Danio rerio: one gene and its partner. Each later gene encodes a partner of the first gene's protein in a complex. Links are inferred from orthologs where the notes say so. Each region holds a gene or a part of one and is shown on either strand. Other genes may lie near its edges.

Evidence for each region. Proteins that work in one complex are often made in the same cells at the same time.
Region 2: the proteins of mybl2b (region 1) and lin9 are in contact, whole or in part, in a crystal structure (PDB 6C48), measured with the Homo sapiens proteins. The link is inferred for Danio rerio from reciprocal best matches to the Homo sapiens genes MYBL2 and LIN9. Residues at the interface, in NP_002457.1 of Homo sapiens: Trp663, Ala667, Cys668, Gly669, Gln674, Met677, Gln678, Ala681, Arg682, Leu684, Leu685, Arg687; in NP_001353174.1 of Homo sapiens: Lys356, Gln385, Arg386, Tyr388, Ala389, Thr390, Val392, Leu393, Leu395, Glu396, Asn399, Leu402, Asn403, Leu406.

What each region holds. Positions count from the first base shown.
Region 1 is NC_133186.1:1,629,088-1,633,299, forward strand, and holds the start of mybl2b (v-myb avian myeloblastosis viral oncogene homolog-like 2b), read left to right. Parts: upstream 1-1,412; 5' UTR 1,413-1,634; coding exon 1,635-1,654; intron 1,655-2,233; coding exon 2,234-2,330; intron 2,331-4,011; coding exon 4,012-4,083; intron 4,084-4,204; coding exon 4,205-4,212. Other genes in the region: uncharacterized protein si:ch73-303b9.1, read right to left, coding at 506-530. UniProt on the Homo sapiens protein: Transcription factor involved in the regulation of cell survival, proliferation, and differentiation. Transactivates the expression of the CLU gene.
Region 2 is NC_133195.1:46,995,141-46,999,358, reverse strand, and holds the start of lin9 (protein lin-9 homolog), read right to left. Parts: upstream 2,809-4,218; 5' UTR 2,771-2,808; coding exon 2,740-2,770; intron 52-2,739; coding exon 19-51; intron 1-18. UniProt on the Homo sapiens protein: Acts as a tumor suppressor. Inhibits DNA synthesis. Its ability to inhibit oncogenic transformation is mediated through its association with RB1. Plays a role in the expression of genes required for the G1/S transition.

The DNA.
Region 1 (4,212 bases):
ACTTCACTTTACATCAGATGCTATAGTATTCGCTAAGGACAGTTTTTTTGATGGCATGTTTGCCCTAGACTAACCAAAACATGCTGTAATGTACTCTATTAAATAATTTATTTGGATCTTAAATGAAAATTAATTTTAATTTCATGCATTTTTCCACTCAAAGCAGTAATCCCCCATGGTCTTCTCCCAATGTATAGGCAAAGAGTGCAAATAAAATAAAATTAAGAAAAATAAAAAAAGTGGACATCATAAGTGCATTCGCAGAGCCCAGAGTTTCCACTTTATGCAAGAACAAATATTTAATTATCCATTTAGTAACATTTTACGATTATCAAGCAAATAATCAGATTATCAGATTTATCCCAAATCTCAGCACAATTCAAACCTTTCAAGCATTTTAAGCAATACCTGCACCAGTAAGAGCTCTGTTAAATGTGTTTGCAGCTTATTATAGCAAATATTATTACTAAAACTTCAACATTATTTATATAAGTGTGTGTTTTACCAGGTCTGTCCCGTCCTGCGTCCATTAGGAAAGTGTGGAGGTAATTAGACTCAGCTTGTATTTATGGCTGAGCATGATTAGCTCATTAGCTCTTCAGGCTTTTGGGAAAAGGGGATCTTTTCAGTGGATAAATACTCTAAACACGTCTATAATCACAATGCTTGATCATATCTATATTTCAATGCAGATGAAAAACCAAATAATAAGATTTGGGTTTAGTAATTAATTACTAGCTCTGAGTTTTATCGCCATTTTGTAAAACAAAAATCGCTATCTGAATGAATCTTCCGGTACATATTCATAATTTTACCAACACTCATTTTATACTTTAATGTCATACTTTAAACGTTTAATGTTTAATTATGACATGTCAAATCGTGTTTTTACGACTTTTAGTTGTTAAGTTTTTTAAACGGAATGTCAGAAATACGAGTAAAGGACTATTGAATGGGCAGTTCACGCAAAATCATCGTTTATCTCCCTTAAACTGGATCCAAGTTTCTTCTGTCGAACACAAAAGCAGAAAACCTGTAACCAATGACTCATATAGTATTTGTTTATCCTATATGGAAGTCATAATATCTTCTTTTGTGTTCAACAGAACTAATAAAAGGTTATAAACCATCTGAGGTTGAGTACATTTTCATTTTGGGGTGAACTAGCCTAACGTTACATCCTCAAGGCTAACTTCTATATTAGCCTCACATTAGGCTCACAATACTCGTTATATTGTTAACTTTGGGGCTAACATATAATTTAGTCTTAAGGATGTAGGCTACTAAAGGGATAAATCTATAATACATAAAAATACATTTACGTGTGTATACTTTGACCAAATGCGCGTCCGTGTGTGTTTCGCGCGCGCACGCATTTGTGCGTGACGTTCAGCCTGTGTTGGCTTTACGTCACTCGCGGGAATGGACGAGAAAAAGAAGCGCGAGATAGGAACTTGGGCGCGCAGCAGTGGATGTTTAGCTGCGAGCTCCTGTGCGCTTTTCAATGAAACTCTTTACTTAATTTGATCGACTGTCTAATTAGCATCACACATGAGTTTATGCGTGTGTTCTAGACTCAGAGTGTCCTCATAAAGGTCTGTATTATTGGCGTATTTTGATCAAACATCAGGGAAATGTCTTGGTGGGCGCGCGGGTAAGTACACTAAGTTTATTATTCGTACATGTTTATTGTTCATCTGTAATGGAGATTCACTTTAGGGCTAAAAATGAGACTTAGAAATGTATTCTGCCTGTGCATGTGGTGATTGTTGACAATAAGTTTGTGAATGATCCATTGAACCCCGCCTAATAGCACAAAGAGAGCTGATAAACGCGGAACTACTATAATATTAGCATAATAAAGATTTGCACAAAGTCAGATTTACAATGTTAGTCAGCATCACACACTGTTATAAGTTGTACATTTAGCTTTAAGACCGAGAAAAGTGCTTTATACTTTGATGACAAGCGTTGTTAATGTTAGCTGAGCTGCTAATAGCTCGAGATATTAGCTCTGAATGTGTATTGTATTTTAATGTAATTATTGAGCACATTTAGGGGGGTTAAAGTATTATTTTCTGAACTTTTCTGCAGTAAAAGTGTTGTTTTTTTCCCTTTGGTGTTAATAGACATTGCTTAGCAAACACAAGGCCCTGATAAATGGTGTCAGACAGTGTTTGCTGATCTGCGGTCAGTGTTGTTTAACGTGTATGTGTATGTGTGTGTGTTACAGTGAGGATGAGGAGGAGGCCTTATGCCAGGACACAGACTCTGATGTAGCTGACCAGAGAGATTGTGGGAAGGTGAAAGTCAAGTGGACACAAGAGGAGGTAAACACAATTCTCTAATTGCAGAATCTAAACAATATTGGGGTGAAGTTATTTTTGAGGTTTCATATTCACACATTCGTATAGAGGTAAAGTTGGTTTAATATTCGGATTTTCTGACGTTCTCCTTAATAATATCATTTCAGAAAAGTGTTCTTTGCAAATTATAAATAGGAAAATCATATTAGCAGCCAATGCTTATCATAGTTTACAGTCAGTTAAATAGTGCTAATGTTGTTTTGAACTCATACTTGCATGCTAATTCTGATAGAATATTTAAAAAAAAGCGTAGTAAACAATATAGAGACAGTTAAATTAACGAATGTGCGATTTATAAAACCAACTTTACCTCAATTACTTTCCTTTAGTGATAGCTTGTGACATGCTTCCGATAAGTTCCCATGGTACTTTGAATATTCAGCCTGAAATCAGATGTAAATGTGACTTCAAAATAACATTAGCACTATTTATTTGACTTTTAATAATGTTGTACTTTGATAGTCACTCGCTGCTTATAAGATTTGTATCATTTAGAATTAGCAAAGAACACTTTTCTGAAATTATATTAATAAGGAGAAAGTCAGAATTTGTGAATATAAAGCCAACTTTACCTCAGCAGCAAATGACTATCAAAGTACAACATTGTTTACAGTCAAATAAATAGTGCTAATGTTGTTTTAAACTCATGTTTACATCTGATTTCAGACTGAATATCCAAAGTACCATGATAAACCACATAGGGAGCATGTCATAAGTTGTCACTGAAAAAATGAGCAACTATATATAAAGCCAACTTTACCTCACTTAAAACAGTCACTTAATAGTATCTTTAATGTTTTTCACATCAATAAATAGTGTGTTTTTGTTGTTGTTTTTTTCTTAAATTGTGACTTATTGTTACAGTCTTAAAGATGGTCAGTCAAGGGGAAGGAGAGTAACATTAATTTTGGGTGAAACATGAGCAAACACAATATTTACAAGTGAGGGACAAAATGCCAAGACTAACTAAATGCAATAAAGTGAGTTTATTTACAAATATAGTGATAATAATAAATGCAAAATTATGGATATTTAAACAATAATAAATATTTACAAAAATATATTCACAATTGCAGTCAACAAATGTTTGAACCGATAGATGAGAGAATTGGAGAGATGAGACGTGGGTGGCGTCCAAACAGTAGAAATAAATAAAACAAAACAATACTTTCTACTGGCCCAACCAACTATCCCCCCCAAAAAATATATCAGTTATTGAAAAGAAAATCCTTTACGCAGAGTATACACATCATGTCACATCATGTTCATGTCTGGATAGACACTCGTACACTTCGGCCAATGTAGTTCATCAATTCCTCTATAGCACATGTGTTTGGACTGTAGGGGAAACCGGAGCACCTGGAGGAAACCCACACTAACATGGGGAGAACATGCAAACTCCACACAGAACCGCCTACTGACCCAGCCGGGACTCATACTTTTATTAATTAGACTAAATGATTGTATGAGACTCTTTTCAGTGTTGATGTTTTTTGTACAATGAATGTTTATGAAGAAACTGATATGATTGCTTGTTATATATTGTATTTTTAGTTTAGGTTTTGTCATGAATGCTGCTGATATGGCATTAAAACATAAATAAATATTGCATATCTCTAATTTCATGTTCATTGGCATATCCCAGGATGATAAGCTGCGTAAACTGGTGCTGAATGTTGGATCAAATGACTGGAAATACATCGCTGGATTTTTACCTGTAAGTGTGTTTATCATGCATTCAGAAAACGCACATCAGATGTTATTTATGCTTTGATCTATTGAACATTTGAGTGTCTGATTAAAGTTGAAATGCTGTAAGAGTGTGTTTGTTGTTGAAGAATCGATC
Region 2 (4,218 bases), on another chromosome or scaffold:
TTAAAAACAAAAACGTACCTCTTAAACTAACAAGGGCTTTAGCTGAAGAGCCTGAAGGCGAAGAGAACAAAGAGTTTGATATATTACAATACATTACAGTTTCAAAAGCAACATATGATTAAGAAGTCCAAACAAAAACAAATCTTGAAAATCAATTAATGCAACACTGAAGTAAAGTCCGATTATCAGGCAGATTAAAGGTGGTTTTAGTGCATGGTATTACAATAGTTCAGCCCCAAGGCAATATAAAGTGGTGGTTACACTTGTGTTTTACATTTAAAGTTGCTTTAAAAAAAAACAACAACAAAAAACAAAAGAATTTACGCTTCTTTTATTCATTTATTTATTTTCCTTCGGTTTACTCCCTTATTTATCAGGGGTCGCCACAGCGGAATGAACCGCCAACTATTCCGGCATATGTTTTACAAACTGGATGCCCTTTCAGCTGCAACCCAGAAATAGGAAAGCTTGAAATGTTTTTATTTTTAACTTAGTGATGTTAGATGATCAACTTCATAAACATGCTTTAACAAAACGAGGTGATCAAGCATTTGCAATTGCTCCTATCTATATTTTTTAATACTCCTTGATGCTTTTTATTGCTTTTATTTATTAATTGTTTCAATTTCCACTTTATTCTCATCTCTGTCTTTAGTAATCCTATATACAGCACTTTTGACAACATTGGTTGTTTTTAAATTGCTTTATAAAAACATCTTGTATTGTATTATTATGTTTTTTATTATACATACTTTTTGCACAGTATACTGTTTTGCATCTGCACAACTCATGTGCCCTTAAGTGTAATTGTGTTGTTTACAAATTTTTATTTTTACTTATATTTTCAGATTTTAAATGAGCAATTGTATTTATTGTATTTTCTTTCTAAAATTATACTTTTTGTATAAATATTATATGTTAGGCACCAGGGGTCTGAGAGTAACGCAATATTAATTCTCTATATGTCCTGTACATGTGGTTGAATTGACAACAAAGCTGACTTTGACTACTGTAAGAAAAATTCTACTAAAAGAAGATTTAAAAAAAGAATACGACTGTCAGTTTTTACAACACTACTTATTGTAAAAATAAAACAACCCTAACTGACTTATATAAATAGAAGAAAAGCATTGACTTTAATGCTTTAAATAACTTAAGTAATAAAATATCAAAATATGGTTGAAATAATGGTCTACTTTAAGAGGCATTTTTAAGTTCTAATTAAATATCATACTACATTCTGACCGGTACTTATAAAATTATGTGCTATCAAACTTAATTTCATTTAATTTTAGATTATTTTAAACTTTCTGTTGACAAAAAAAATGTGGTTTGAAATTAAAAAGTTACAATATAAAGATTTAAAATGAAAAATAGGCCTCACAGCAAAAAGGTTGCTGGTTCGAGCCTTGGCTGGATCAGTTGGCATTTCTGTGTGGAGTTTGCATGTTCTCCCAGTGTTCGCGTGGGTTTCCTCCGGGTGCTCCGTTTTACCCTACAACTCCGAAGACATGCGCTATAGGTGAATTGGGTGACCTTGAATTGTTCGTAGTGTATGTGTGTGAATGAGTGTGTATGGGTGCTTCCCAGTGATGGGTTGCAGCTGGAAATAATGCCCTTTTTTATTAATGCCCTTTTTACATTTTATTAAATTTAACACAACATTCTGACCTGTACTCATAAAATGATGTGCTATTAAACTTAATTTCATTTCATTGTAGAATGTTTTGAACCTTCTGTTGATCAAACAATGTGGTTTGAAATAAAATAAAACTAAAAATATAAAGATTTAAAATGAAAATTAGTATTTAAAAGAGCTGCACAGCCATTCTTAAATTGTTCTTGAATAATGACATCATATGATTCTTGATCTAAGCCTGATGAGATAAACTATTGTTACACCAATAAGATTTTAGTGGTTTACTTCTGATAATCCTTGTAAAAATGTATGATAGCCTTTTTTATGCTTAAAATTTAGCAGGACGTTTTATTGTTCAGTGAAAAAAGCTGTAATATGTTTTTATTGTTTTGATACTTTAAATAAAGCAAAGCTAGAAATAAATAATAATCTTTCTGCAATTATAAGCTGCTCAAATATTAAAAGTAATAATTATCAAGCAAGATAACAGACGACGGATTACGCAATTATCCCTATTAATACAATCAAAACAAAGCTTTCGGTAAGACCGAAAGAAAAAAATCACTGTGAATTATTGTGATGAATGAGAATTATCCAGACACAAGTACTGCATCATACAAAGAGCGCATTTTCACACCTGAAGAGTGTTTCAGCATATTAAAAGTATGTGTTTATCATACGGACAGTGTTTTAGTACACAAATAAACTGACACTGACAAGAACAACAAAACCCAGCAGCTGTCATCGAGTTACGACCCTGTAAATGTATAAAAGTTAAACCCTTTTCATAGTATAACCACTGCGAAACCGCAAACCAGTAATTAAATTAATTTTGATTATAAACAAAGCACCATAACGAAACTTTAAGGCGAAAAACTCTTCAGGTGCGATATTTATTTATAGTAGTAGGCTTTGAAAGCTAACTGTTAGCTTGTTAGCCTCAGCGCTAATAACTTTGCGTCTATTTTAACACCAGTCAAAACAATGAAAGACACGTGAAATGTACGGCGAATAGCACGCCTTATGAAACGTTTTAAACCGCACAAACACTCAGAGGGGGATTTTTCAAGGTTTAGCGAGGAGTTAGTTTTATTACTCACTCTCGTCTAACAGCTGCTCGAGCTCCGCCATCTTGAATTAGCCGCGCCGGTTTTTCAAAGGCCGAGTGCCGAGATGCATTGTGGGACAGAGAGGGCAGTTCAAACACACCACAGCGCTCGCTAACTAACAAAACATTTTACATTAAATGTGTTTGCTGTACATAAATATGATTCTTAAAAACAAATTACGACCCATGAGGTAAATTAGATTCATTTGAGAAAGTTTCTTGTAGTTCCAAGCCGTACAAAACAAGTTAAAAGATGTCGTCGGGACCAGGCTTCAGCTGTGGTTCAGTGACTCCTATGAGACACAGGGCCCGTTAAAGGATCTCAGGATCACCAACAAACAAACAAAAAGAACATAAACAAGGTGTAAACTGTATATTTATGTATTAAATATTTTAGATGCATTACATATTTACACTAACTACAATTTTATTAAACAAACGCCAAGTTGCAGAATGACAAACTAATTGTACTGCATTTAACATTTTAAAACAAGTATTATATAATAATCATGTTCATTTAGCATGTGTTTGTACACATTTCACTACAAATTAGTATATTATTAACATTTTATTTTCCCATCAACGTTTGTTCAACAAAATTGAGTCATCTGAGTTAAACTAAATGCTGTTCTTTTGACATTCCCATTCATCAAGGGATCCTGAAATACACAAGATTCCACAAAATACCATACAGTTCAAATGTCATCAATATTATGAAAAAATAATCTCAATTCAAATTAGCAGAATTACAATAGTTTAAGGAAAATCATGTGACTTCGAACACAGAAGTATGCTAATGCTGAAAACTTGTTTATTTCTATAGCACTTTTATGATGTGCATTGTATCAAAGCAGCTTAATGTAGAAGTTCTAGTGAATTAAAAATGTGTCAGTCCAGTTTTCAGAGTAGAAGTTCAGTTCAGCTCAGTGTGGTTAAATTTTTCACTGCTGAAAGTCCAAACACTAAAGAGCAAATCCATTGATCCATATCTCCGCAAGTCCCAAATCAAGCAAGCCAGTGGCGAGAAACCAAACTTCACCAATTGATGAAAGTGAAGGAAAATAATCTTGAGAGAAACCAGGCTCAGTTGAGCATGACTATTTCTCCTCTGGCCAAACTTCTTGTGCAGAGCTGCATGCTAGGTACCGGGGCTTGAGAACGCTGGATGTCCATCGCAGAGAAGCTGCAGGTGTAGGTCACTAGCGGGTGATCAGGCTGGCCCCTGGGATCAATGCGAAAACTCATCTGTCCCTCAGTTTTGAATGATTGGAATAAATATTTAATAATAAAAAACACATTAAAAAAAAATATTTTATTATATTTTTTGACCAAAAAAGGTTATTGTAGTGAATTTTATTTATCAAAAGTGGTAAACCCTGATTTTATTAAATTTTTTTAGTATGATTTTATTTACTTGTATTTAGTTGTATTAGGACATTTTTGCAATCAAATACCACCCCCCGAAAATAAA